4 linked regions of the Caenorhabditis elegans genome follow. The protein of the gene in region 4 interacts with the protein of the main gene of each other region in a pairwise test. Each region holds a gene or a part of one and is shown on either strand. Other genes may lie near its edges.

Evidence for each region.
Region 1: the proteins of mafr-1 (region 4) and rnr-2 interact in a two-hybrid assay, tested with the Caenorhabditis elegans proteins (one large-scale study listed by BioGRID).
Region 2: the proteins of mafr-1 (region 4) and Y62H9A.2 interact in a two-hybrid assay, tested with the Caenorhabditis elegans proteins (one large-scale study listed by BioGRID).
Region 3: the proteins of mafr-1 (region 4) and arf-5 interact in a two-hybrid assay, tested with the Caenorhabditis elegans proteins (one large-scale study listed by BioGRID).

The regions. Positions count from the first base shown.
Region 1 is NC_003281.10:4,091,128-4,098,859, reverse strand, and holds rnr-2 (Ribonucleoside-diphosphate reductase small chain), read left to right. Parts: upstream 1-3,938; 5' UTR 3,939-3,971; coding exon 3,972-4,025; intron 4,026-4,141; coding exon 4,142-4,498; intron 4,499-4,552; coding exon 4,553-4,908; intron 4,909-4,966; coding exon 4,967-5,345; 3' UTR 5,346-5,552; downstream 5,553-7,732. Other genes in the region: Guanine nucleotide exchange factor rei-1, read left to right, coding at 732-850, 1,009-1,392, 1,445-1,544, 1,601-1,732; C03C10.7 (uncharacterized protein), read right to left, coding at 1,958-2,114, 2,314-2,423, 2,473-2,693, 2,746-2,815; Putative casein kinase I C03C10.2, read right to left, coding at 5,580-5,783, 6,077-6,340, 7,069-7,608, 7,717-7,732.
Region 2 is NC_003284.9:11,874,578-11,881,856, reverse strand, and holds Y62H9A.2 (uncharacterized protein), read left to right. Parts: upstream 1-3,647; 5' UTR 3,648-3,660; coding exon 3,661-3,949; intron 3,950-4,030; coding exon 4,031-4,347; intron 4,348-4,391; coding exon 4,392-4,439; 3' UTR 4,440-4,546; downstream 4,547-7,279. Other genes in the region: Y62H9A.4 (DUF4362 domain-containing protein), read right to left, coding at 685-778, 832-1,023, 1,363-1,715; Y62H9A.3 (putative secreted effector protein), read left to right, coding at 1,913-1,972, 2,020-2,269, 2,315-2,369, 2,415-2,694; Y62H9A.1 (uncharacterized protein), read right to left, coding at 4,615-4,691, 4,738-4,901, 5,207-5,448, 5,494-6,036, 6,129-6,203.
Region 3 is NC_003282.8:7,978,460-7,985,784, forward strand, and holds arf-5 (ADP-ribosylation factor), read left to right. Parts: upstream 1-4,066; 5' UTR 4,067-4,085; coding exon 4,086-4,136; intron 4,137-4,186; coding exon 4,187-4,283; intron 4,284-4,410; coding exon 4,411-4,535; intron 4,536-4,583; coding exon 4,584-4,766; intron 4,767-4,928; coding exon 4,929-5,015; 3' UTR 5,016-5,393; downstream 5,394-7,325. Other genes in the region: ora-1 (Onchocerca Related Antigen family), read left to right, coding at 1-216, 273-431; unc-24 (Band 7 domain-containing protein), read left to right, coding at 1,424-1,647, 1,848-1,923, 2,312-2,407, 2,463-2,612, 2,659-2,823, 2,869-3,489; mec-17 (Alpha-tubulin N-acetyltransferase 1), read right to left, coding at 5,555-5,784, 5,858-6,104, 6,146-6,239, 7,039-7,176.
Region 4 is NC_003279.8:10,621,289-10,628,805, reverse strand, and holds mafr-1 (Repressor of RNA polymerase III transcription MAF1), read right to left. Parts: upstream 5,634-7,517; 5' UTR 5,629-5,633; coding exon 5,546-5,628; intron 5,496-5,545; coding exon 5,156-5,495; intron 5,107-5,155; coding exon 4,985-5,106; intron 4,934-4,984; coding exon 4,741-4,933; 3' UTR 4,445-4,740; downstream 1-4,444. Other genes in the region: B0511.6 (ATP-dependent RNA helicase), read right to left, coding at 583-660, 926-1,027, 1,147-1,263, 1,523-1,825, 2,329-3,051, 3,100-3,411; arch-1 (Protein archease-like), read right to left, coding at 3,532-3,672, 3,718-3,867, 4,159-4,335; Laminin subunit alpha lam-3, read right to left, coding at 7,493-7,517.

The sequences.
Region 1 (7,732 bases), on a different chromosome or scaffold from region 4:
TTCTACTCTCCGTTTCCTCGTTTTCTTTGTTCTAGAATGGTTTCAAGTTCGAAATTCTCAAAAAATTATGAGGTTCGAATATTACCCAGACGCAAAATTTTGAGATTTTTGCCCTGAAAATACGGTACCTGGCCGCGAAAAGGCAATTTCTGAGATTTACAAACGGGGGTGCGCCTTTAAAGGATACTGTAATTTAAAGCTTTCGTTGCTCTCTGATCAGATTTTAATTGATTTTTCATAGTTGATCTCACAATTTATTAAATCGAATAATTTTGAATTTTATTATCTTAATTATTAATAAAGTAATATTATTTAATAAGTAAATTTATTTTCAACCAAAAACTATGAAAAATCAATGAATACTGAAATTACAGTACTCTTTAAAGGCGCACACCCATTTGTTTTCAACAAAAATGTCATGTCGAGGGCCATTTTTGCAGCTGATTTTTGCTATTAACCCTGAACAACTAAAATTGAGAAAATTGTCCAAATTTCATTCATTTTAGCCATTTTTGTAAGTCGAATTGATAATTTCTGAAAAACTCCCGCCATTAATTTCAAATTACGATCTGCAAACACCATCACGTAAAAATGCACAGTTTTGCCTCACGTTAAAATTTGCAAATTTAATTTTAAAAAATTTATTTTCTCATCTTTTCTCCTCATATTCTCTTCATTTCTAGTAATTTTCGTTCGAACAATTCGATTTCAGAATCAATAAAACATTAAAAATGACGGAAGGGGACGATCAATTAATATCGATTCGCAAACAACTTGAAAATTTAAATAATGCAACAGATGACATCAACAGTTATGAGATGAAGTTGGAAACTGTCAAGAAACAGTTTTGGTGAGTTTTAATTCATTTTTTATTTTAAAATAATTGCTTAATCGCTACACGTCTAAAACTGGAAACCTTTTATTGCACTAGTCATTCTTAACCAATTAATTCGCAAAAAATCGTACCAAATCTGGTTTTGATGCTAAAATAATCTTATATATTTTCAGTGAAACCCAACTAATGTTCAACAAAGAAATGCTTGGAATCCCTAAAAAGTTGGCCAAACACATATCAAAATCCCGTCAATTTTTCGATTTGAAAAGCCGCGAATCGGAAATCAGAAGATGTGTTCAACAAGCGGCAGCTCAATTTGAACGACAAAAAACTTCAGTTGAAATGGCAAGAGAACAAGTGCAAATACTGCATAATTCATTGAATAACAATCAAGAATTGGATGCAGAGAAACAATATGTTGATGTGATTGAGCAACAGTTGGAATTGGTTAAAGAAGCTGAGGGAGAATGTTTAAAAGCTGAAAAGTGTCATGCATCACGTGTCAGGGATTTGTTACAGTTGGAAATGGCTTTAAGGAAATGTTTAGAGGAAAATGGGTGAGTTTCAGGCATCAGGCAATTTTCTGACAATATATTTTCCGAATTTCAGATCTGCCATCAAAAAATCCCGGCCCTATTACGAACGAAAAGAAGTTCTGACGCGAACAATGAATTCTCAACTTGAGTTAATGTCAATTTTGGAGCATGAAGTAAGAACTAATAAGAATAAAACTGTATATAGATTAAAATAATTTTTAATTTCCAGGTACAAGAACGAAAAGACAGCTACAGTGATTCGATGCGAGCTTTAGAGCAGATCAGCGATCAAATTCATCAGGAGCGTTCCTCGCAAAGCAGTTTGGCTCCTTCGAGTGATGCAGAATCCGACAGCTCTTGATACTCTGAGCCACACCCTTTCTTCTCAATTTTCCACGTGTAATATTAGATTTTTCACGAAGTTTCGAAATCTCGATCTCACTTGTACTCACGTTCCACACCCAATCAACTTCACCAAAAATGTATTTTTACGGGTTTCAATCCCCTTTCTCTTTGCTCCTCATTTTCTCTATGTATCTCTTTATTTTGTGTTCGTCTGGTGCTTAATAACAATTTTCTTGAAACATTAAAAATTGTGATAATGAGAAGACGATGAAGTGCCCACAAAAGCATCTACGTGTGCACACGCTGCACTTCTTGTCGGAGCACTGGATTTATCAAGCAATCGTGAAGCCAATGTGCATAGCTCACAAAGAGTGGATGCCCTTGTCGCTGGTGGCAATCTGAGGGTGAAATAGATTGTTGAAAAATTGTAATTTTTTGAAATTTTGAGACGTTAAAAAAAATCGAAATTTCGTTGACTTGCAACTTGCGCGTCATATATAGTGTCAAGTACGCATACACCGCGACGGTAGAATGCACAAAATTGTCAATTTCAAAATTTTCATGATTTTTCTTTTATTTAACAATTCAATTTCTCACCTGCTAACCGAAGCGGGTCTTCTTTCTTCTGGAATAATTGGAATTTCTTCATCAGAATCCCATTTAAAATACTGAAAATTGTTCACACGCCGGCCAAGCTTTGGAATGCTCTAAAAATATTTGTGTCATATTATTGTTTCACTTAATTGAAGAGATTACAGGCATTTCTATATCATTCCGATTATTGCTCAATTCCCTAATAACCAACAATTCATGAGTTTCTCTACGAATTTCTTCATCTCTCTTCCTCTGTTCCTTCGCTTTTTCCTCTTCTTCAATACGACGTTTTACCTCTTTCTTCGCCTCTTCCCGCTTCTCATTTCTTCTAATCAGTTCTTCAATTTCACTTGATTGTTGTGGTTTAGGTGGCTTGAGTGGTTCTGGGAGAATTTTCAGGCACCTATGACAATATTTCTCAGACTCTAAACCTACTTGGCTTCCTTAAATGCGGACGTAGATCATCCTCGGACAGAGTTACAGAAAATCGACGATCTGACGCCATAATTTGATGTAAAGTAAAAATGGAGAAGCTTTTTTGTCTGGTTTGCTGGTTTCCAATGGAAACTCTCCGTACATTTTTCAATAAAACGTGGATCTAAAGCTACTAGGCAACCACCAAAATATTGTAGAATTTGAATTTCCGCCATAATTGGTTGGTCTCATCACGATATTCATCCAAATTTATGGCCCAAAACCTAAAGATAGTTTTCCAGTATTTCAATAGGCTTCGTTCCCGTCAAAAATAAGTTTTTCGAGAAAATACAAAATATTTTGTTGCGAAACTATAGTTAGGAGGTTATATTCTTTACCGTTTTTCCGCCAGACACTAAATCTTTATCAGTCGGACAATATTCATCAGACCTGTAAATTTTCTCTGTGTCTCCGTCATTTCTTTCAAAACGCGCGCCAAAATTTGAATTCGAACAATTGGCGCGAAACCTCTATTGCGCCCGCTGATTTCGTTCATTCACTCATTTCATTTCTCATTCGCTTCGTCTTGTGTGCACTGGAAGTGCACTCATTTGTCTTTTTCTTGTTAAATCTTTTCAATCACCATTTTTAATTAAATAACTTTAGGTTTTTGAAATTGAATAGCTGCTTTCCGGCTTTTCAACACATTTATAGATTCTTTTTCAATATATAAATTGAATGTTTTTCCAACAAAAAAAAATCGTTCGGTCACTCCATTGGTCACTTTTTTATCAGTAAGCCTCGCAAAAACAATATATTTTTGATAAGGAATTCATTCAAAATTCAGTGCAAGAGCCCTATTCTAATTTCTCACCCATTTATTTGCATCATCTGCTCCCATCATTGACCATGCCTACGTCACAATTGACCTCCTGCCGGCATACGATTTTCCGTGCAAAACTGAACACAGGACCGTCTGTGACGTCAGCATTTCCCGCCCTTCACCCATAGTTCACCATGACGTCAAAAGCTCCGCCTTCGTTAAAACCTTTGGTGCTGGTCATTCCTTGTCTCAGTCTGTCACAGTCGCCGGTCCTAGGTGGTGACTTGTGTGACCTGAATAGTGTTCAGCTGGCCATTTTTAATGTTTCCTCTTCTCTATCAATTGTTTTCTTCATTTGCACACTATTTTCATTTTATTTTAAACTTTTCAGGATCGCAAGCACTATCCGCGTATATCTACTAAAATGACCCTCACCGAGATTCAGAATGTCGAGAAGGAGAACGCAGGAGCATCAGTGGTAAGTATTTAGTGTAAAGTCCGCGAAGAGGCGCGAAATCTGGTGCTTTTGCACAAAATGTGCACAATTCTACGACTTTTCCAGTATACTCATTACGTATGCCTTCGAATTTACAGCCGAAACACTCATCGAACAAGCTGAAGTTGGAGAAAGAACTGGAGAAATTGGAGATTGTCGATCAGACCAAGGCTGCTTCAGCTGAGGAAACAAATAATGAGTCGGAGGTGAATGAGCTGGATGCCGACGAGCCGATGCTTCAAGATTTGGATAATCGATTCGTCATCTTCCCACTGAAACATCATGACATCTGGAACTTCTACAAAAAGGCAGTTGCATCATTCTGGACAGTCGAAGAAGTCGATCTTGGAAAGGATATGAACGATTGGGAGAAGATGAATGGTGACGAGCAATACTTCATTTCTCGGATCCTTGCCTTCTTTGCCGCATCGGACGGAATTGTCAATGAGAACTTGGTATGTTTTATTTGATATCTCAATAATGATTCAAATTAACGATTAAATTTTCAGTGCGAACGATTCTCGAACGAAGTTCAAGTCTCAGAAGCACGGTTTTTCTACGGATTCCAGATTGCCATTGAGAACATTCATTCAGAGATGTACTCGAAGCTGATTGAGACTTATATTCGTGATGAGACGGAACGAAACACTCTTTTCAACGCCGTTGATGAGTTCGAGTTCATCAAGAAGAAGGCTGACTGGGCTCTTCGCTGGATTTCGGACAAGAAGGCTTCGTTCGCTGAAAGACTCATTGCTTTCGCAGCTGTTGAGGGAATCTTCTTCAGTGGATCATTCGCTTCGATCTTCTGGCTGAAGAAGCGTGGATTGATGCCAGGATTGACACATTCCAATGAGCTCATCTCGAGGTAATTATTATTATTACGAGATTTAAATAATTTTAATGTAATTTGATAATTTTTGCAGAGACGAAGGACTTCATCGTGATTTCGCCTGTCTTCTCTACTCAAAGCTTCAAAAGAAACTCACTCAACAACGCATCTACGATATCATCAAGGACGCTGTGGCCATCGAACAAGAATTCCTGACTGAGGCACTTCCAGTTGACATGATTGGCATGAACTGTCGTCTTATGTCACAGTACATCGAGTTTGTCGCCGATCATTTGCTCGTCGAGCTCGGTTGTGACAAGCTTTACAAGTCGAAGAATCCATTCGACTTCATGGAGAATATCTCGATCGACGGAAAGACTAACTTCTTCGAGAAGCGGGTTTCCGAGTATCAACGTCCTGGAGTGATGGTGAATGAAGCCGAGAGACAGTTCGATCTTGAGGCTGACTTCTAAAGAAAATATTTCCAAATTTCTATTTCTAACCTCATGTTTTCCTTCCTTTCATGTTTTTCAACCTCACCCCATTTCTCACATTCACTTTGTTTCTGTTACGATCTCGTGTAATTGATCGAAAGCACTTGTACCAATTTCTATGAATCGCTTATCTTGACTGAAAAGATGTTTGAAACTTTTTATCATTAAAAATGAAAAATTGTGATTTCACTTCATTCATAATTCATTCAGAGTTCAAATATTCAATGTCGTCTTGTATCCATCCTCCCAATCATACGGTTCGAGCAGTGATTTCGGGCTGTATAAACATTTCAGACATTCCAGCAGTTTTTCATACGGTAGTTCAACAACGGGGTCACATTCCAAAATCATCTTATGAAAGTCGACTAGGATGCTCGCAATGTCCTTGAACATCTCTCCATTCTTGGTAACCTCGTTCTGAAATCGGAAAATTTTGTGATTTATGACACAAGAATACGGTACCGGGTCTTGAAACGACCGAAAAATTTGTTAACGATGATTGTGGAAGGATGCATGCGCCTTTAAAGAGTACAGTAGTTTAATTTTTAATTCAAAAATCATTTTCTTTTTGGAAAAGTGAATAAAAATGCGACAATTGAAAAAAAGTGTACTGTATTCCTTGAAGGCGTACACTCTTATTTGCAGCTACCGTAAGAAACAATTTTCATGAAGACTTTTGAAATAAAAATTGTACGATTTGCACCACATACCATCAACTTTTTGACCCCATGAATCTCATGAATATCCTCCAAATATCTCCACGGGAGCTCTCCAACGACTAGCTCATATGCCGTATACAAGACTGAGAATGCATCATCCCATGGTGTCTGCTCCAGCTTCTCGTGTACACGAACCGATACATAACGTTCTGTTCCTTTGAATCCGGCATTTATTCTCCATGGAATGCATACACCGGATTCGGTTTTGAAGCGTCGGACGAGTCCGAAATCAAGAAGATAGAGGATGTGACGATTCTGAAATTACTTTTCTGGATGTGGTTAAACGCATTGCGTCGGTGTTTTTTATCCTGGCGCTAAATTTTTGCAAGCAGGCCGCACGCTTTTGTGAAAAAGTATGACAACTGAACTGTTTTTTCGCTGATTTTTTTTGTATGTAACGTTCTGAAGAGACAAACCAATTTGAGCCGGCTCTGCCACAGCCTTAAGCTTTTCCATGAAGCAAATAACAAATCTTCTCAGTTCGGTGCAAATCCATTAATAATCACAACCTCTAGATATTATACGCGGCTTCTAAGGCCTCGACAGGTGCACTACAGCTGGTGCAACGGCGTACCAACTCTTAATTAGGAGGATTAGGAGGCGGGGTGTAGGTATAGAAATAGGTATAGTGCCTGTTTACAGCTGAAGCCTCTCATTTTCTATCGAATTGTCTCTCTAGGGCGGCTGCTGGCAAAAATAAGGTGAGTTTCTGGTATAATCTTTTCAAAATTTTCCCTCTGTTAAACTCTAAATTCTATTAATTTTTCGAACTGAAAAGTTCGAAGAGCAAATAAGAAAAGTTTGAGGGAAAAATTAGGAATTGAACTTTCATTCGAACTCTAGATATAGACTAAAAGCAAACTACTGTGCAGGCACACCAAGGCCTGCCTGCCTGCAAGGCGATCTACGCCGGTCTCATGCCTATCTGTGCACTGTAAAAGTACAGACAGGCACTGATGTCGCGTTGAAGGCACCTAACTCACCTGAGCATGTACACCAAAACAAATATTTGCTGGTTTAACATCTCTATGAACATATCCCATATCATGAATATCTTTCAATGCATTCAATGTCTGATAAGCAATTCTTCCAACTGTCTCTTTACTCAATCTTCCCAATGGACTTCGTTTCCGAAAGTCTCCAACATTCATACTAAGCAACTGCATTATAATAAAATTGAATTGATCATTGAATCCAGATGCATACATTGTTGGAATATGAGTTTTCCCTTGCATTTTCATCAAAACTTGTTGCTCCATTATCATCCGCTTCGTAATCACTTCTGCTCGTAGTTTTGGTTCTATTTTCATTGCTCTTTCATCATTCTTTTTAACATCCATCACCATAAATATCTGTCCATAACCTCCATTTCCAATCACACCTTCTATGGACCAACGATTCATGAAAATTGATCCAGGAGCCACGTGGAGCTTTTTGATGCGTCTTTCTGCCAACTCTTTTGCGGAAAACTTTTTTGGAAGGATGTCCAGATTCGGGAAAATTTGAGTAATGTCGGTTTCAGCCTGGAAACATGTTTTGTTATTGCCTGCCTACGTGCCTGCCTACCGCCTATTTTCGAGGCAGTCGTAGGTCACCTTCATGACTGAAACAGGTACCGAGCGTTAACTTACTTCTTTTGATTTATTC
Region 2 (7,279 bases), on a different chromosome or scaffold from region 4:
TTTCTCATTTAAACTAAAAACTTAAGCGCGTCCTACAAATTTTTCTATAAACTAGGGCTCCCATGCGGTCGCCGCGACGGCCTCACGGCGTCACCCACGCCGCATTTATAGTGAGGCGCGGACCTCCGAACGTGTCGACCGCTTGCAAACAACCACCTCTTCGCACTATGTTGCACACACACCAAGCTACTCATTTCACGCAATTTGTTGGCTTTTTGATATTTGCCAACAAATCTTTTATATGTAGTACAACGGTACCTCAATTATGAGAGGAGTCCAGTCAACAGAAATATCATAACTTGGTTCCATGGAAAAACTGCGGAAAACTAACATTTGCAAATTTGATGAGTTCACTTCCTCGTGAAAAAAACAATAGGACTTTTAGAGTGCATTCAGTAAATTGTTCTAAAGGAGCGGATGAAAAAAAAAACTGTCTTACATTCAATAAAGTACAAGTAAAACCCTTTTTAATCTAACGAATGCGAAAAGAATTATCGCACTACTTTTCTTCCATATTTGGATGATCATAGAATGAATTTCATTGTCTCATTGAAATTTAGTTAAAGTATTTTCTTTACATAATTATCCAAATTTGAACTTTTTTTTTGTTTCACATTCTGTAACAAATTTGACTTTAAACTTTATCAACCAAAAACTCGTAAAACATTTAAATAAACAGAATCATTAAAATCCTGTCAATGGTCTTGGTCCGGGAAGTTCAACGCATGTGACTTTTCGGATTGCTACTTCTCTGTCGTTGAATGATTTTCCAACAAAACTGAAATTTAGACTTTGAATATAAAAACAACAAGTTGACTTAATACGGCTCACTTTTTGTCGTCGCATTTCGCAACGTAGTCGAAATTATATCCCGATGCAAGGAGAATAGTGTCTTGAATGACGAATTCTGTCTCAAACTTGAAAGATGCGTCTGTTCCTTCCTTTTTTGCTACAAGGGCATATGGTTTTCCACTGTTTGGACAGGCGATAATGTTGTAGGTCTTCCCCTTACGCTCTACTGTTCTGTAAAAAAACAACTTTTTGAACCATTGGAAAATAATTTATAGTCAAAATGAAACAGAACAAAATTAGCCCGTGATATAATTAATTATACAAACTTTGCGAAAACTTTAGTTTTGCTCTCACATCACGAAACAATTGAACGAAAAAGTAAATGCAATATGTATATTTTTTCTATAACGAGTATTGAGAACGAAATATGTGAATGTTTCTATTTTGTCGGGTTTTATGTTTAAAACGTCTTATTTTCTCTAAAACTTTTTCCAACGTTGATCAGTTAGTTTCATTTTGCAAAAATATTCGAAAAAAAGCTAACTTATGGTATTTTTTGTGATAACTCACTTGATGTCAGCACGAGCGGTTCTGTGCTTATGAACAGAAAAGTGTTTGATTTCCTTGCATTGTTCATACTCATTTTGTTCATATACATTGTTTGGTGGTCTATACTCGTTTCCATTGGTACCGTAGTTCGTTGCAGGTGGTTGTGGCGCATATACACCTGGATATTCTGGGTAACGCTCATCTGAGTTCGATCTTGATTTTAATTCATTCTCAGAAGAATCCGATGAGTCAGAAGTAGAGTATCGATTGTTTGAATGATGTCCAGGATAGTGAGAAATTGTACCATAATCATTGTATTGGTTCGCAGATACGACGACCGCACATGCGATCACAGATAAAAAGAGAGCATACATAGTGAACAATTTCGCTGAATTGTGCGTCACCTCTACTTGATTTTATAGACGATTTTGTTGAATCGTCGACAAAGTTTAATCTGGAATATGGATCACATCACATCATACGTTTTCTAAACATATGATTCATGCGAAATCTAGACCAAATATAAAACGGTCCTCAACAGAGGAGAGCCATACATCGGTGCTCTGCCAAGATGAAATATTTTGTTTCGCTTGTATTACTTGCTGCTGTGGCTTCTGCAGAATACCAGATTGTGACATACTATTGCAATTTAAAGTATATTTATATTAATGATTACAGAACGAGAAGTCCTACTCAGGTGAAGTTGAAGTTGAAGACTACCCAAGACCAACAAAGAAACCAACGTACTCGGTGCCGGATCTAGGACCACTTCCACCAGCATCATACCCAGTTCCAAATTTCCCTAATAGTTGGCCGCTTCCGCCAGCTTCACGACTAGTTCCAATTCCACAAGAATATCCAGCTCCGTTCCCCCCAGGACCATATCCTGACTCAGAAAATGGGGGATCGTATCCACCACGCAACTATGGTGAGTTCTCAACTGTATTCTCATTTTAAAAGTTTAAACAATCAGAAGTCAAAAAATTGAAAGATCTTCGTGGTGAAAAAATTGTTGAAGCCCGTGTTAGGTGAGCAAATCCAAGTTGCAAGAAGAATTATACATTCAAATTTAGATACTACACATATGATAACACCCATTACGCCGTCATTTCATGCCCCAGAAATCCAACTCCAGGAGCATACACATGGATTTTGGTGGACTCGAAGAAAGAAATTCTACCATTTAATGTTCCTGGAACAGTAGCGTTGACAGGAGGTATCAACGTTGACTACTTAGCCAAATATGGAACTAAAGGCAAATGGGAAGGAAAAGATTTGACCAATGATAAGAAACACAGGTTCCGTCGAGTTGGATGCCTTCACGGAAATACTATGTCGTACATTCAACATTAAACTTTATCAGTTTAAACAATACATTATGAAGAAAAATAAATGTTAATTTGAGCTTTCAAAGAAAACCAATTAGTTTTGAACACAAACGGAAAAGTTAATGAAACGCTAATCGTTTCTCAAATACCCGGCGTTTAATTTTTGAAACTACTTAAAAGTACATTCCTAAGCCAAACAATAAAAGCGCATCTGTTTATACTTATAATGGAGTTGCTTTTCAAAAACAGACAGACTCTTTTCACTAAGATTCTTTTAACTTCAAGGCGCTTATTGATATTATGATCAACTAAAGGAATCAAATAATTTCATCAATTCCGTTCCGTCAGAAAACAAATAAGAAAGTTTCAGGAAATTCACCCAGATTTTTCAATAATATACGGTATTCTCCATGTGTCAATTTTATATTACATTTACAGAAAAATGGAACAATCTCCTAAAAACAATCATTTTTCACATTAAATATAGGGAGCCGGGAGGACAGAGCTATAAATTCTCAAGATGGAAATATTCATTTTCTATATACTATTTTCCACCGTTTCCCCACTCAATTTTCAATTTCTGTTGATATAATCTCCCAGTAAAAAAAACGAAAATTTTCATTTTTGAATTTCTAGCTTCATGAATAATTTATTTCAACAATCTCATTTTCAACAATGGGCTTCATTTTCTGTTTTCAATTATTAGTTGTCATAATGTTTATTTGTTTGCAAATTTGCTTTCAGTTAAACCAACCCTTCCGATTATGAAAGTGTCCCGTTGTAACTAATCTCATCCTTCAAAATAGATGTCTTTCCGGTAGTATCGGTTTTCTACTAACATAAGTTCATAAAAAATACAATTTATTTTGTTTCCTGGGTGTGAGTAATCCCCCGCTGGCTTCAGTAGATGTTGGCAACGGTTTTTCAACAAAACTACCTAGTTGATCAATTGATTGAAAACAAGGAACCGTAAGAATATTTTCAGGCGATCATGAATAATCTTCCTGCACTCCTTGAAAACTCATCAGTCCCTCGGCTTACTCAGGGCCAACAAAAGAGTGATAATAAACCTTCACTGATGGAAGATACACGAATGAGTGTCTCAAAAATAGTTAATAAGAATTCTGATTTCAAAAACAATTTTTCGTACGATAAGAGGGAAGCCAAAAAATGGACAGCGTTGCGAGCAGAGTGTGAATTGACTATTGAGAGAGTAAAGTCTCTTGATCATATTTTATGCAGAGGAAGTTCCAAAACGGACCTTGTTTATGCTCTAAAACGTGAGTTTATAAATGAAGAATATATTTCTGACTGATATTAAAATTGTCAAATCTATTTTGAAACTAATTCGCATTTTTTAGAATCTGCTCAAATCTACACTCGCCGTGAAGAAATGTTTGAAATTGTTGATTCTTCACCACCCAGTATCGACAAACGTCGGACTCTTGCTCTGTTATGTGAAATTCGAAATTTGGATGAAGATAGCATTATAGGAAAAACAATGTCAGCTCTTGATATGGCAAACGGTGGTTATCACAAAACGAAAATCCTCGAAAATATGTTAGAAGAGAAGGAAAAAGAACTAAAGACAAGAGAGACGGATGCTCATGACTTACAGAAGTCATTTCAATTTTCTTTCACTGAAATGGCAGAGACAAGTGCAAACTCTGAGTGTGGAGTAAGTTTTAAAAAGTTTTGAAACTTTAAACTGATTAATTACAGACAAAAGTCACTAAGTGTGCGGTCGCAAATTCATATACAAAACATTAGAAAATGTGCATGTAAACTTACTTCCGTCTTCTTTGAATTTCATGTGGTTTAATTATTTAAAAATTCTGTGATTTTATTTTTGTGAAGAATAACAATTTTTCAATTAATAGCATAATTATATTGCTACATAGACTTCAGAATTAAAGTGAAACGTTATAACTTTAAAACGTTTACATTAATAAAGTTTTAGAGAACCATACGGTACTCTATTTGTCGGTCTTGATGGAACGTGAGATGTGAACGTTGATAATTCTGGAACATATAGATTCAACCGAACCACTAGTCCAAAAAATCTTACGTGTTTGCGTTACTGCTTTTGGTTGGTTTCTTGGAACATACTTATGAAGACCCACTAGTTTAAAAAAACCATAACGAAGCGGTTTGATAAGTATTAAGTATAGGATACAGATAACTGGACATGTGAGTTGAGTTGGAGCTAACACTACCATTGCAAATGGAAAACTGAAAAAAAAATTATGTTGAAATGCAGGCTACATTTTTCTTGTAATACCTTTGTTTCAAGTATTTTTGTTTTCTTTGTAATTATTTTTCTCAAACTATACTTTTAACTTTAATTGACATATATTTTTTTCAGAAGATGAGAACATAGAATACTCCGTGTTTTTCATATTACTTTTGTAGTACTTGGCTTCACCGGAAAGCTTGGAAAATAATTCACAGTTGCTATAGATCCCTAATTTTTAATTGCAACTTTTTAGTTTTAGTCATGCGTGTTGAATCATCTTTTTTTAGTTTATGGTTCATACCCTTCGAAAGGTGTGTATTGCATCAATAATAATGCCATTGCTGTTGCAGCTGGAATTCCAACTAAAACACCAAACTGCAGCAAGTACCAGAGACTAATTGCCAAAGCGTTTTTGAGCTGGATCAGTGTTTGCTTAGAAATCATTTTGTGTATTTTGCTCAATGTTGTATATGATTTGAATGTTATCAATGGGATTATGATAACTACTATTGAAATTCCAATAAATGCTTCGACACTTAATGCCTGAAAATGTGAAAGCTCGCTGAAATTTCAAAGGAAGAACAATACCTTTAAAGACCATTTATCACTGACTCTTACAATTGCAATGGAATATTCATTGAAAAAGTACTTAATTCTGTTATCAGTTTTGTACAAGTTATCTCGATCTTCGTATTGATGTTCATCGACTCCAATAGTCATTAGTACAAAATTTACTATTGTAAATACAACACCAATGCAAACTCCAATCAAATTTGTTTTTGTTGAGCTTTGACGTGATATTCTATAGCAAATCGTGAAGTAGTTAAACCAAAACGAATAGAGGAAACTCATCGAACACAGGATTGCCAAAGTACAACAAATATTAAACAGATGAGCAGTGACGAACGGCCCAAATCGGAAAAATCCCACGGTGAGAAGTAAGTGATATGGGAACACGATGTACGGTTGGTAGACAAAACCCATATAAACACTGAAGACAACCGGAAGCATAAGGTTGCAAACAAGAACTTGCTTGTAATCCCGCTTTAAGGTTTTCCCTTCAACTCTTACTAAATAAAGGGTCAAAGCAGTCAGAAATACGTTAAGAACTGATGTTATTTCCATATATCGCTGGAAAAAAAGTGATTAATATTATTATTGGCCACCAAATTATGAAAAAGGAAAAATCGGGTTCCTTTCCCACAAGAACATCTTTAACTCACCCGCAACCAAACAAAATAACGTTCTTGCACAGAAATGGAAGTATAAAAACCAGGTAGTTGAAAATCGGATGACATGATTGTATAAACCGCAATAGAGACAATCTGGTGTGTTTCGACCAAATTGACTGACCAGCAGGTATTAACTGATAATAACCCGTTTGACAGAACTTTTGTTTTTGATCACTGGAGTTGTGAAAAATGTTCTGAAAACCTTTCATCATTTAAAAATCAAAACCTTTTCCAAGAAAAAACACATGAAAAGATCAGCTGAATCTAAACGTCATTAAGCATGTGGTATTTTAATACAGTCATTTGATTAGACAACATTCTGCGTTTCAGCTGCATGAGCAAAAGTTTGTGTTTTGATGAAAACTCAATTTGATAAACGAATTACACCATATTGCACGTTTTGATCAAATAAGTAAACATAAATAATATGGCTACAGAAATAGACAAAATAATTGTATGTTAAATGTTGCAAAAACAGGTGTACTGTTCGAGTACGCGTGCAAAAGATGAAAAATTCCAACTTTAAAATGATGAAAGGTACTTTCCTTTGTAGTTTATTTTTCTTGCTTACTTATTTCAAATCTTCTCACAAAAAAAATGTTTGAAGGAAGTATAAAATTTTCGAACAGTTAAACAGTTTTTAATTTTTGACCCCATATCAAATTTGCTCATGAATAATTCCGTAAATTTTCTTCTCATTTAAACTAGACTCAATGATGTCAACTAAAAAAAACTTGAAGCAGTGAGTCAAATTTATTCCAATAGACTAAAATATTACATTTATAATGCTGTTTGGTTGTAAGTGAAAAAAATAAACAAAAAGTGTCACGTTTAATTTTGGTCTTGATTCTTAAATTTCATACCAAAGATCGACCCTTCAATTATCGGGGAAAATAAATTATGTACTCAACGTTTTATTTTTACTTTTGAAACTTCATGTTTCAAGCTACATACACAATTTACTTTCTATTTGATAAATGCATATTGAATTCATAACAGTGATGTTTTTTTTCTGTTGGTGATGCTGTTTATACCTTGATACATATAGGTAAACTTAGGCTTTTTGGTATGTGATCATGATTGGACAATAACAGTAGAAAATTTAAAATCTGAAGCTTGAGTAGCTTTAAGATTTATTACTA
Region 3 (7,325 bases), on a different chromosome or scaffold from region 4:
ATTCACAAGAGACCACCACTTCCATTCCTTCGTGGACTTCCAAAGGACATCCTTGCCAAGTTTGATGCTATTTTCAAGGATAAGTCAATCCCATTCAGTGAGAAGCCAGAGAAGATTGATGCTCTCGCTCAAGAAGTTCTTACTGGAGATAACTTGAAGAAATTCCAAGAATTCAAAGAGAAAAAGGAGAAGGAAATGCAAGAGTACAAAGACAAGGTAAGAATAAAAAAAAAGATTTTTACTCAAAAGGATGTTGAATATCATTCTTTCAGGAATCGAAGCTCTCCGCAGCTGCCAAGGTAGCCAACGAGAAGCTTGAAGCTCTCGGAAAACAAAAGTTTGCAATCCTCGAAGAACTTGATGAGAACGTGAAGGATGAGCTTTTCGATTTGTGGAAGAGCCGTCCTCATGGACCACCAAGACATCACTAGACGATAATTTGACAGCGATTTTTGTAAATATCTATGACAGAATTTTATTCATTCCCGATTTCCCGATCACTTTTAATTTATATTGAAAAATACATATATTTAAGATTGAATAATAAAGATTTCTATAAAAACTTTTGTGTACAAATAATAATTGGTTCCCAAATCTAAAGATGGAATAGTAAAGATATTATTAAAATATACGTAAATTGGGCGAAAAACATTCTGAATTTTTAAATTTTCAAATGTTTAAAACATGGTTTTGATAAATTTCCAAATTTTCCAAAGTGTTTGAATTTTTGAGCTAAAACTCAAGAATTGCTCCAAACTTAAACCTACAATGTGTAAATACAAATTTCAAAAAAGCTACTTTTTTTGGTCGACTTCCAAAACGTTGGCAGGTACAACTGAGTTTCTACCATATTCAGACTGTGAAATAATTTCAATTTTTGAAAAGTTTTACTATGATATTTGTTCATTTTAGCACGATAGGAGTGGTTTTAAAGTTTTCCCCACCGCGCGGTGCACCGCCAATACTTTACCTTGAGAATTTAATTAAAATGTAAAACTCGTAGAACATACTTGTTGACTTCCAAAACTATAATAGATTAAAACTGTGTGCATACACTTTTTCATGTAAATAAAACACTACCGCCTACCTTTAAAAAAATTTAAATTACAAAGTCTTCAATTTTGACTTCAACAATTTCCAACCTAACCCCTAAATTTTCTCATCGTATTCTTGGTTTGTAATGTGTGACAGACACCCTACCATTATCTGTGTATGAGTCTTTTGGGACACTCTTCTATCCAATGTCATCCGTCCTCTCAAATGCAAAAATAAATGCATTTGTGCTCACGGAGCCAAAGAATCGATGTGTGGTCCCGGACGCCAGAGACGCAGACATTCGAAACGACTAAAGCAGATGCTCAGTGTTAGAGCTCTTCGTCTCTTTCTCACACAACTACTTCATCTTTCTCTTGCTCCATTCAATATGACGTTCTCTTCTTCGTACAAATATTCGGCGCTGGCGCAAAACGATCCAGAGGCACCAGAAGAATTAGAAATGAACAGTCTTGAAGGATATTCTGCAGTCGATTTTGGTGATCCAAGTCAAAGTGTAATGGAATATGGAATGCCTGAAGGTTCATATGATTCCGTTTTTACATATGCTCCTTACAACGATCTCGATAAAATGGGATATATGGGTCCAGCAAGGTAATTTTTCAACAAAAAAACTAATTAACTTTGATATAGATGAAAAATTAAAATTTTCCAATGTTATCTTTCAGTTAAAATGGAATTAAAGTTTTATTAAATATTTTAAGAATTATAATTTAGCGATTAACTTAATTTTCATAAAAGTGTTTTACAACATGCATATGAACAATAAGAATCACTATTCAATAATTTTTCAGGCAAGGAATGATGCTGGGAAATAAATACGGAAACTTCACATACACAAGAGATTATGGTGTTAATATGGAAGACGATGTGAGTTTTTATTTAATAAATTAAATTTTGGTTTTCTTTATCAAAACTTAATGTGAAATTGAGCCATTTAGGAAATTATTTGATAGTAAAACTTTGAATTGGTTTTTTTGAAATATTTTTATTTTCAGTAAATAAAAAAGTTGAAATTACTCGGTTGTTGAAATTCGCCAAAAAATGTTCTACAATTACTATGATTTTTTTCCATCTGAGCATTGTAGGCATTTGAACAAGCAACAGTACTCTAAATTTCTTAAAAAGCATACATTTTTTGCAGATTTTGGCAAAATAGAAACCTTAACAAAAATGGAAATATCTAAACTAATTGAAACACACACGAGACAATTTAATTAAAATATACTTATGATATCTTAAACATGTTTTTTTTCAGATAAAACCCCTGAGCGCCATTGAACTGTTGATCTTCTGTGTTTCATTTTTGTTTGTTGTGATGACAATGCCCTTATCATTGCTTTTCGCGTTAAAGGTAGTAATTATAATTTTCTAGAGAACCGTTTCTCAAAATTTGCTTAATTTTTCAGTTCATCTCTACCAGTGAGAAATTGGTAGTTTTACGCCTGGGAAGAGCTCAGAAGACAAGAGGACCTGGTATAACTTTAGTTATTCCATGTATAGATACAACACATAAAGTAACAATGTCTATTACTGCGTTCAATGTCCCACCACTCCAGGTTAGCCTTGACAATATTTTGTCTAAAAAAAAATTTTAATTTACAGATAATAACCACAGATCGTGGTCTCGTGGAACTCGGGGCAACTGTTTTTCTAAAAATTAGAGATCCAATTGCAGCTGTTTGTGGAGTTCAAGATAGAAATGCATCAGTTCGAACATTGGCAAATACAATGCTATACAGATATATCAGCAAGAAACGGATCTGTGATGTAACCAGCTCACAAGATCGAAGAATAATTTCTGCTAATTTGAAGGATGAGCTGGGATCATTTACGTGTCAATTCGGAGTTGAAATCACTGACGTGGAAATTTCCGATGTGAAAATTGTGAAGGAAGGAGAGAACATGGGGATGTCTGCGTTGAGCAGCGTTGCGAAATCCGATGCTGGTCAACAGTTGTGGCAAGTTATTGGACCAGTATTCGAAGACTTTGCAAAGGAATGTGCAGCTGAAGAGAAAGCAAAAGAAAATGCACCATTAGTTGATTTGTCGGATGTTCCCTCAACTTCAGCTGCGGGAACTTCTACAGATACACCAAATATTCCTTCCATTGATATCGACCATCTTATATCTGTGGCAAGCCTAGCTATGGATGAACACTTAGTCCGTCTAATTGGCAGAGTTTTCCAAATTAATTGCAAAGATATTGAGCCCATTTGCATTGATTTGAAACATGGATCTGGAAGTGCGTATAAAGGAACTTCCTTAAATCCTGACGTGGTTTTTGAAACGAGTTTGGAAGTATTTGGAAAAATTCTAACAAAGGAAGTATCTCCAGTCACTGTATATATGAACGGAAACTTAAAAGTGAAAGGAAGTATTCAGGACGCAATGCAGCTAAAACACTTGGTGGAGCGAATGTCAGATTGGCTTTAAGAAAATATACTCATTTTCTGTTCTCTTTTTTCTCTTTAATAAATGTTTTTTTTTTAATTTAAAGATTTACACTATATTTTCTTGTCTTTCAGATATTATTTTGTACAGGAATGTTTTGTTTTTAAAGTAATATTATCTAAAATACATCCAGTCACTTAAAATTGTACAAAACAGGCTTTTGTGCGACGAATAAGCGGCCAAATCGAGAGATCTCATCGAGAAATAAATGCATTCTTCAAGGGAGGGCGCGTTTTCTGGCTGACGGGTCTCGCCACGATCGACTAATCGAAATTACACGTGTGTGGCTGGCTGGACGACATCCAGCAAATCGACGTTGCTATTGCCGATTTTTACCAAATTTTCTGGATTTTCATCATTATTAATAAATTTTCAAAATATTTAATGTTTGAAATGGATATATTTCTTGTAAAAAAGCTTTAAAATGGCTATAAAGACGAACAAAATAATTGTTTTTTGAATGAACGTGTCACATGCTTTGGAGTGTTATGTATTTTTCTTTTACTATCGTTTTTTTTAAATTCTAACTGGAAATTTGTTTTAAATTATATAATTTCAGGTGTTGAATCAGCTCCATTATGGGTTTAACAATCTCCTCCCTCTTCAATCGCCTTTTTGGCAAGAGACAGGTATGTTTTTGTAATGCTTAATCTCACAGTTTTAATGTGTTAATTTTAAGGTTCGTATATTGATGGTCGGACTCGATGCTGCCGGAAAAACTACGATCCTCTACAAACTCAAGCTTGGAGAGATCGTCACCACGATCCCAACTATCGGTAAGTATTTCAGGAAAATATTTGCATTTTTCGAATCAATGGTTATTGCAAAAGAGTCGCAAGTTCTATAATATGTGTGTTTTTCAGTATTTCATAATTCGTAAAAATTAATAATCTGATATTACAGGATTCAATGTTGAAACTGTTGAATACAAGAACATTTCCTTCACTGTGTGGGATGTCGGAGGTCAGGACAAGATCCGTCCACTCTGGAGGCACTATTTCCAAAACACACAAGGACTTATCTTCGTCGTAAGTATTCGAATCGATTTATAAATCTAAAATATTTTAAAAATTAAGGTTGACTCGAACGACAAGGAGCGTATTGAAGAATCACGTGAAGAGCTACATAAGATGCTGAACGAGGACGAACTTCGTGACGCTACTCTTCTCGTTTTCGCCAACAAGCAGGATCTTCCAAATGCTATGACCGCCGCCGAATTGACCGACAAGCTTGGACTTCACAATCTCCGCTCAAGACAGGTGAGTGGTATTCGAGATTCCGTTCTCTGTTTAGTCTTATCTGCATAGACGATCAAAATTTGAAACCGGACAAGCGTATTAATCTGATCGAATAAAAGATTGTCCACTCACGGAATAAATAAAATTGTTTCCAAATTTATAATGTAAATGAAAAATTTTCAGTGGTACATCCAAGCTACATGTGCAACTCAAGGACATGGACTCTACGAAGGACTTGACTGGCTATCCAACCAGCTTTCCAAGACCTAATTGCACAACTTACATGTCCAAATTCCCTTCTCCTCCAAAATGTGTAAATCCCTTTCCCCCATTAAAATATTCTTAACCAACAGCCACAATAATCCACGCAGCCGTTTTAATTTTGTTAAATAGAATTTGATTGTTTGATGGCACTGGGAGCTTCTATTTTCTGTGTGTTATTGGTACCCATCTCTCTCTCTCTCTCCGTCCCCCCAACTTCAAATCGGCCCGAGCCCTGTCCTAATTTATGTGATATTTGGCCGTCTTTTTTGGTCAAACTCTCCGAAACCACCACTGTGAACTAGTCGGAGAGCAATCGATGGCTGGTCCACTTCATCGCAACAGTTTAATTTATTTGAGGGTGTTGATGAATAATATTTTATAAAAACATGTAAGTGTGGTGGATGTTCATTTTTATTTATCGGAAAGAACGCTAAGTTTAATAAATTTCGAATTCCAAAAAAAGCATGAGAGCGAGATTAAACAGATGGCACAAAATTGCATAAAGTAATTAAAAGCTGAAAATAACTTCAATGTCCACATCCGAATCACCACAATGGCTTGCTCGACAGAATGTGAGCTTTTCTTGCCTTGGCCTGATGAGCTCTATTGCTCAAAGCACCTTGTGGTGTCATGTCAGCATCCACCGGAGCAGCCATTGCATTTCCCTTGCTCTGATGACCACTAACAGCGTGTTGAAGCCAACGGGTATCAGTCATTCCAGTTCCCAATCGACGTGGAGTCATTGGACGACGCCAACCATCTGGTGGAGGTTTTTCTGAAACGTCCAATAGTTTAATTTCAGTGAAGTTAGAATTTTTGTGGTCAAAATACTATTCTACTAAAATTACCGATTCCATTTTCAGCCGACAAAGCTAGGAAGAGCTCCTCGAAAACAACGAAATTGGTATTCTGCCATACAGGCTTGATAAGTCCGTACTTTTGTGACATAAAACCAAGAAGAGTGACTGATGGATTATCAAGAGCCAATTGATAAGGTTCAGTGTGTTCCTGAGAGAACATGTAATCTAGAATTTGTTGTCCAACTCCTTGGCGTTGACATGAGAAGTGAACATAAAAGTCCAGAAGACACAGAATCTGAAAAGTAAGAGGTCGAATGAAATGATAATTCAATTCACCTCTCCCTCATAAGTCTGCATTTGAGAGTCATAAAGGAATAACTTCTTTCTTCCTACTTTCGCGAATCCCATGAGTCGACTAACCTTCTCTTCTCTGAAAAATCAAAATTTCCAATTTCCAAAAAATATTAATACAGCGTTTCGATAAAAGGCGCCTATTATGTATCAAATATTACATTACTAGGTCGATCAATGGATCTAATGGTAGGTAGTATTATTATAAGGATTATTACGTGGACGTCTAAAAATTATAATTTTTATCATATCTTACGCTCATGGGTCTCGCCACGCTGAGAACGAGGGACTGTAATTCGTGTCTATTTATTATGATTGCATTAAAATTTCAAAATGAAAAGTGCTGCCAAGATTTTAAAAAAGAATATGATACAACCAGCCGTGGACCGCACCTTCGGCGCGGCCCCCGACTTCTGGAGCTGAAAACAAATTTTTCTGAAACTACCGTAATCATACAGTACTCCTACCGTACCACTATTGTACCACTACAGTACCCCGACTATATCCTTACACTAACCCCAACTCACCATCCCTCCAGAAGCTAAAACTTCGCAGACTACAAAGACTACATAGACTACAAACTATGGGCAAACGGAATAAGCGATTTATATATAGTAAATGATAGTGGGATTACAGTAGCTCGTTGTCAGCATGGCAGTCCCATGCACGTAAGATAGGGCGAAAATTCGTATTTTTTGACGTCTAGATAATAATAAAATACCCAATATCTCTTCATAATTCTACAGTACTCCATACGATGACCACAGTATCATCGCGACGAGAAAATATATGTCTGACAGTATTCCGTATTATTCATTCGATAATGATTGAGTAATATTGTGAAAAACTGAAGTATATGAATAAGAATATTAACTTACTCATCATATTTCCAAGAGAGATATAAAGTTGAATCGGAGTTGATAAGCTTCTCACAAGTTGTCAAAGGAGTACGAAGCTGAAGGCAATGAGCTGAGAGTTTAGCAAGATTATCGATTGCTTCATAGACAATTGGATCCCTGAAATATTTTTGATGAATTTATTTTTAAAAAATTATATTCGGACCATTTTAAGTGACACTTCATATTTGTTCTGGTAAGATCATCCTTCTAATCTCACAGAACCCCAAAAAGCTCAAATCTAGCTTCTCTTTAAATTCCAATTATCT
Region 4 (7,517 bases):
AGAGGGCGGAGATTTCAAATTTTCAGGTAATTTTTTTCGAATTCAACTGTTTTTATACAGCGTGAGTTCCCGTAGGCGTCCTAATTGCAAAAAAGTGGAAGGAGTGGGAGGAGATGTGGGCGGGGTCACCACAAATGACATGAAATCATGAAAAGAGAGGGAACAGGAAGGCCAGTGACATCTGAAAAAGAAGAAGAAGTCGTTGTTGAAATGACAGTTGCGCAACAACTTTACATATATATTCATATATACATATGACATTTTAGATGATATCTCATTCGCCTCCTTCTTCACATTTCTGATATCTTGTCTCTCCACTTTTTTGTGTTGGTGTAGGGGAAAGGTGAAAACGAGACCGAGAAGCTTTCGCTTTTTTCCCTATTGCTGCATCTTCTACTGAAGCGAAACGAAAAGCACACACGGTTCTGAAACAGTTTATGAGGGAATAACAGCAAGAAAAAGAACAAATAATTGTTGGGACATAAAGTTGGATGGAGAAGTGGTTGTAGGAATAACAATAAAAGACAACAGTAAAAGAAAAAGAAAACAATGATATAACAATAATTGGAGGCGGAACACACATCACTTCTTCGCCTTGAATGTGAATGACTGCTTCTTCTTGCGGTAGCCAGCTCCGGATAGTTTTGAACGGATCTCAACCTGGAATAAGGATTTGTAAGAAAAATGAGGCTAGGAAATTCTGCAGGCCGTTCCAATATTTTTTTATTGAAAGTTAGTGTAAAATATTGGATTGATCAGAAATATATTTGAAAAACCGCTACAAAAATTTATTTTCCAAAACTGAAAAATTTCTGGCATTTTTTGTACAAGTTCCAAACTTTTCGATCAATCAAAAAACAATTTGCATTTTGTAAAATTTCCTATTGGTAATTCTTTGTTTTCTTTCCACTTCCTTCAGTTATACCTTTGGCTTATTGCTGATCGGAAGATCAACAAACGGTGGAACAGAGAATCCGAATGATTTCGACACTGCAGTCAAGTCCATGTTGGTCACATCGAAGATGTCCTGCAAAAAAAGGGATTTTACGTAGGAAGTGTGTATACTTTCAAGTATTTCGTAGCCGGACATCTTGAAACTCCATGACAATTAGTCTCATATGTCATCATTTGCACTTTGTGAATTACCTTCAATGAATGAGAATCATACGCTCTCAAGTAGCACTTGTATGCCTCCTTCGCTGATTTGTTCAGGTAGTAGTTTTTGCTGATGAGATTCTCGAGTTGGGATTGAATGTTTGCAACCTGAAAATTGAGAAGTTCAAGTGTTATTTTCAAATTTTGCAAATTCACTTCCGGAAATAAATTTTTTATTGATCATTCATCTTTGAATTCTGCTTTTTAATGATTTCATTCACTTCCTGTATACCTAAAGTTTTAATCTTTGGATCTTATTTCACTTGCACTTGGGTGTGTGACCTTCTTATCAAAGGATCATTTACCGGTTTTTTATTAAAAAAAAACTTTTGATTCAAAGAACACGTCGCCTATTGAAAGTGCATACCTTGCTCCATGAGAATTCGAATTCGTTCAACGTGACTTTAGCGGCCTTCAAATAACGCAAGAATCCAAGTTCTTCAGGTCTCAAAACGAGAAGAGCCTTTCCACTTCCATTTGTTCCACGTGCTGTACGTCCGACACGATGAATATATTCTCTTGGCTCATCAGTTGGATCATATTGTACAATCCAATCAACTGCTGGAATGTCGAGTCCACGAGCTGCCACGTCTGTACACAAAAGGATGCCTGTTTCAGCTTGACAGAATTGGAAGAATGTCGTTGTTCTTTTCTGTTGCTTTTGTTTTCCCTGCAAAAATTAATTATATTACTAGTTGAGGGAAATTTAAGATATTTCTCTATTAGACGTCTTCAAATCTCCATTAAACTTTTTATAGCGGTTCAAAATTTCTGTTTAAAAAAATCATTTTAAGCAAAAATCTCAATTTCTCCACAGCACCTGTTTTTATTCAATTATCACCCTTTATTGCCAACTTTGATAGTATATTACTCGTTTTTCGTTCATTTCCGGTCTTTGTTTGCCCCCATCGACTAAAAATTACTCCAATGAACGAAACAACGTGCAATAAATTACCAAATTATGCACTAAACTGTGACAATTAAATAAAAAACATTTCCGCGAGTTGTGACTTTGTCAAGTTGTCGGAATTTCAGATTTTAGCTAAAATAGGCTTTATTTTTGAAATTTCGAACCGCCATTAACAATTTTAAGGATATGTGAAGCCGTCTCAAAAGATTCATTTTGCGATCTTTGATAAAAGTGTTCATAAAATAATCGTTTAAAATCCTTACATGAATAGACATGCACGGAATGTCAATGTAGTTGAGAAGCTCATGATGGAATTTGACTGAATTGCACGATGAGAAGAATACCATCACTTTTTTCGTCTTGTTCTTCTTCAAGAATGTGAACAAAAGAAGTAGACGCTTATCAGATGGAGCAACAATATAACCCTGCTGTAATCCTTCAACTGTTGCCTCTTCGGCCTTTTCGTGTACAGAAACGCGAACTGGATTCGAGTGAAGAGCCAATTTCACGAGCTCATCAACTTTTGGAGAGTGAGTTGCCGAGAAGAGCATTGACTGCCGTTGTTTTGGAAGATGACGGAGAACTTGTTGCATTTCTATCTCGAATCCGATATCCAAAATTCTATCAGCTTCATCAATAATCAAACACTTCATGTTGCGGACTAAAAAGTTGTCAGTATTCTGAAGATGATCCAAAAGTCGTCCAGGAGTGGCCACCAAAATCGAAACTCCCTTCGCAAGCTTATCCTTCTCTGCACTTCTATTCGAACCACCCATCACTAATCCATACGTCAAATTGGATCCTTCAAGAAGTTCGGACAAAACTCCATAAGTTTGCATCGACAATTCACGAGTTGGAGACACAATGATGACACCAGTTCCATTGTGTTGTTTCCAGTTGAGTTTGTGAAGAAGTTCGATAGCAGGGAGCAGGAAGGCAAGCGTCTTTCCAGAACCAGTTTTTGCTGATGCCAATACGTCTTTTCCCTGAGAAATTGAAACTTATTAAAAAAAGAAAAAAGTTATAAAGTCTACCTCCAACAACGGATCAATACTCTTTGCCTGAATTTCTGTCATTGTAGTGAATCCCAATCCTTGTACGGCTTTCAGCAAATTCGCGTTAACTTTTCCTTCAAGCGATGCAAATGTAGTCTTCGTCAAGAACTCAGACACTTTGGTTTCACTTGACTCCTCCGTTTGATGCTTTTGCTCCTCTTCCACTTCCTCCTCATCTTCTTCCTCCATTGGTTCTTCAACTACAACCTCCTTAGCCTTTTTCTTCTCATGTCCATCCTTCATCTGTTTCAGCTTTCGCTTGAGCACCTTCTTCTTGACGTCAATGCCCATTTTTTACCTGCAAAATTAACAAATTTTATGAGCAACCAGAAGGGAAAAGACACGATAATCGGAAGCAAATCACAAAGGAATTAAGCGAGAAAAGGTGAAAAAGAAGTTGTAAAATAAAAATCAAATGTCAACAATGACATAGATATCGCATCTCTCCGGCTTCTCGTTGATTTGCATGTTTGAATAAGTTGGAGACTTGATATCAGCCTCTGTTTCATGCTTTGAAGTATCAAATGATTCTCCCCATCCTCGGAATTCGATCTGAATAGAATTTAGATTAATTTTCAGAAACTTTTTATCAAATACCTCAAACTTTTTCTTATCAAATCGCAATATTTCAACCCGTTTCGCGACAAAGCATGGTTCAGCGTGGAATGAGTTGAGCGCTTCGTCTAGAAACTGAAATAGGAGACCATCTAAGCTATCGCCAGAAGCTTTCCAGTAGAATTCGTACATCTGAAATAATGCAAAATTAAAATTTTATTTTAATCAGTTTCTTGTAGAAATTGTGGGTTTTGTTCGAAAATGAAGTCAAGAAGGCAAAAATTGAGCTTTTTTCTGGGAGCAGCTTCAAAACTAGAGAATACACGAACAAAAGCTAAAATTTCTACAAGATATCGATTTAAATTGCAATTTCATATGTTCATAAGCATATTTCAAGTGAAGTAAGAAAAATTAGACAAAACAGAGGAAAGTGGAAAAATTCTTAAAAGGCGCAAGAGGCGATCTAATTCAATTTCAAATTACCTCATCAACCTTGGCCAAATCCGTCATATAGCCGAACATTGATACGAGGCATGCTTCGAAGGCTTCTTCCATTGTGGATCCCCAAGAGTGAAGTTGAATATCTGCCGGATGATCGAGATATTCGAATCGCCGACGTTCGATCTCAGAACGATCTTCGATCATTGATGTGCTCGGCATTATTTCACTGAAAATAAATTAAACTGAACTTAACCAAATAAATTTGAGGAAAAATTGATTAAAATATCAGAACGGTTGAAACCAAAAAATAATCGATTTTGATTAACTTAAAAAAAACAATTTTATGTATTTATGATGCGGTTTTTGTGAAAATTGATATCTACGAGCCACGAAAAGGAATGAGAATCGAAGTATTTGTTCCTTTAATCTAGCGGTAGGTGTGTGGGAAGTGGCAAATTAAATGCGAACTCGAGAGGTGAAGGAGGAGGTTGAGGATTGATGAGAAATGGAATCTATTTACAAGAGAAGAACTACAAGAGGGAAAGAGGCTTGGCCGGCAAGACTAATACTATATCGCCTTGAATATTAGTCTATTCTAAGCGTTCTACATGAATAATCTGCACTCTATTTCTCTTGTGGTTCCGCCTCGTCTTCACTGAAATCGGGGAAAATTTCGATGGACGTGTCGGCTTGTTTCGATAGGCAACGAATTGTGAGAAGAACAAAACGTTTGAGTCCTTTGTTGTAGAAAATGAAGGCAAGTGCCCAAATGCAACCGTCTTCGGTAAACGGATCGTCTTCGAATTGGGACTTGAAGCTGAAAAATATGGAAATTATATAAAATATCCTCTCAAATCAAACGGAATACCTGTATATTTGACAGTCACCGGGCACAATTGCCTCATCAATAATTCCCCATAGCTCTTCTCTTCTCACGTGATAGTCTCTGACAATTGTCTCAAGCTTCATATCAACGAGACGGCTCAGGTCCTGAAAAATCATGCGCGTTAATGTTATTTAGCTGTAAGAAGCTACTAACCGAATAATTGACGAGAGCAAACGCTTCACTGTTGGCATTACTGAAATCGTGATCCGGAAACGAACAGTTCAGAACTTGAGTCAGATCATACAATTTCTTTCGCGAAATTGAGTCTTTTATCAGGTAGTCATTCACGTCGAAATCGTTGTCTGATCCTCCTGAGCACGAGCGTTCCGATAAATGGCGAAGCCGATGATTGTGACCAACACTGGGCGATGCACTCATCACCATTTCCTCGTAAGATCCTAGAGGCTGGCGTTCACCCCATATCACAGATTTATCGTTCGATTTCCATTGTTTCTTTTCGCTAGTAACCATTTTCGACGAATACGTTTCTAATCTGAAATTGAACGATTTGTTTTATTCTTAATATTGAGATAAATGACTCACTTGAAATCAATAACACAATCGATTGCTCCCGTAACGAGTGTCTGCGAAAAAACATCCATTTCGGAGCTTTCCAGAAACTTCATGGCTTCTAAAGCTTTTCAATAAATTTCGAGAACATTTGGAGAATTCAAGTGCGGAAAAATCCTACGTAATGAAGATTGCAATATTTAAAATCGCGCATTTTGAAAACAATAATTTAATTTTTAAATTTTACACTAAAATAACAATTTTAATTACTTTTTCAGAACGATTTATCGTGAAGAAAGGAAAAACTGCTGTAAAAAAATCCCATTGATTTAGCAAACTGTCGGCAACTTCTGTGTAATGTGTGCAATATTGTTGTTGGTGTTTGCGTACTTGTCTACCGTATACCTTGGGGGTAAAATGAAATTTGTTAAATTTCGCTTCGAAAGTCGTTTTGCAATTAAAAACTATAGTCAAAACTAGATTTTCAAATAATTGATGTCACAGGGGTCTAGAGAACGAAATAACACGACCATTTATGACAGAATCAGGAATATTTAGATTAAAAAATTAACAAGTTTCAAATCAAATTTTCAAAAGGCAATGAGATTCACAAGTTTTATATTCAATACAAGAATTTAGTGGAATTAATTAGTCCATTTTGGTTCATAAGGTGTTACTGAAATTGATGATATTTGCTATAACTTAATGGGAAACATGAGAAAAAACCTGTTTGAAAATTAGTTTTGCACCCTCTATTAGTTTTGCATCAAATTAGGTGTCCGAAAATTAGTTTTGCACGTCTTACTAATAGAGGATATACGGTATACGGAAAACAATTTAAAAAAATATTTTTATTTGAACGACCACGTACATCTTGATAAGGACTGGTATATGAGCAAGTAGTTTTAGTCATAGTGTTCAGTCTTCAACTTTTCAACAAATGGTCTGCCAAGAAGGATGGGAAGATGATGCCAATTCAACAATTCCGATGCTGTGAACGAAGATATGAGTATGCAAGGAACCTCCGAGTGGACCTCGGACGATGGAGCCGATTTACCTACAGTCGTGTGTGAATTGGAAACCAGTTCACTTCAACCAAACGGAATATTAAAGTGAGTGCGGGTCAGAGGTGTAAATCTGATGTTTTAAAATGTTATAAAACATAAAGTTTACAGCTTTTTGAGTATTGAGAGTATGAACCTTTTTTTTCAGATACTCATACTGGCATATGTCACAAAAACCCCCCGGACAAACTACTCAAGACGAAACGTTCAAAGGATAAATAGAGGAGACAGAGGAAAAAGAAGACAACTCCAAAGTGGGAGCTATTTTGTAAGTTTGTTGTTAAACTCATAAGCTTGTAGATGGCTTGCCTCAATACATTTACAAATAATGTCATATTGGTGTTTATTTCAGGAAGTACAACTGAATCGATTGGAAATTAACGTCAGGATGTGGATTGGAACAAGTAGCTGGAAGTGACTGGAAACCCTACTGTGTCGACGGCGGAGGAGACATGGTGCATGGATGGACAACTGAAACAATTTGACAGCCAGGCTACGTGAAGCTCAATGCTCCGCTCTGATCGACAGTATCTGCCTCCTACCTGCGTTGTTTAAGTAAAGCTGCAGAGATTGAATTAAAGTAATCCATCTGAAAAGAGCATCTCTATTTCTCAATCATTTCGTGTTTTTGAATTTGAAACTGTGCTGTTAGATTTTGAGAGCTTGAAATGGACGTAGTATTGTTTCATGTAGAGAGAAAAGAATTTCGAAAATTGATACAGTGAGCGACGTTCAAAATCGTGGGACACATTTTTTTTCAGCAAAAGCTGGTTCCAAAAAATGTGCAAACTCACTTTTTTTTAAATTTAAAATAGTTTATTCGAAGAAAAAAATTAAATTAAAATTGGCAATCAACAAGGGGCTTTTTTGAGAATCATATTCAAATTCAGGAAGAAAATGTTACAAATATAGAAATTTAATTTTTCGAATTACGCTTTCTT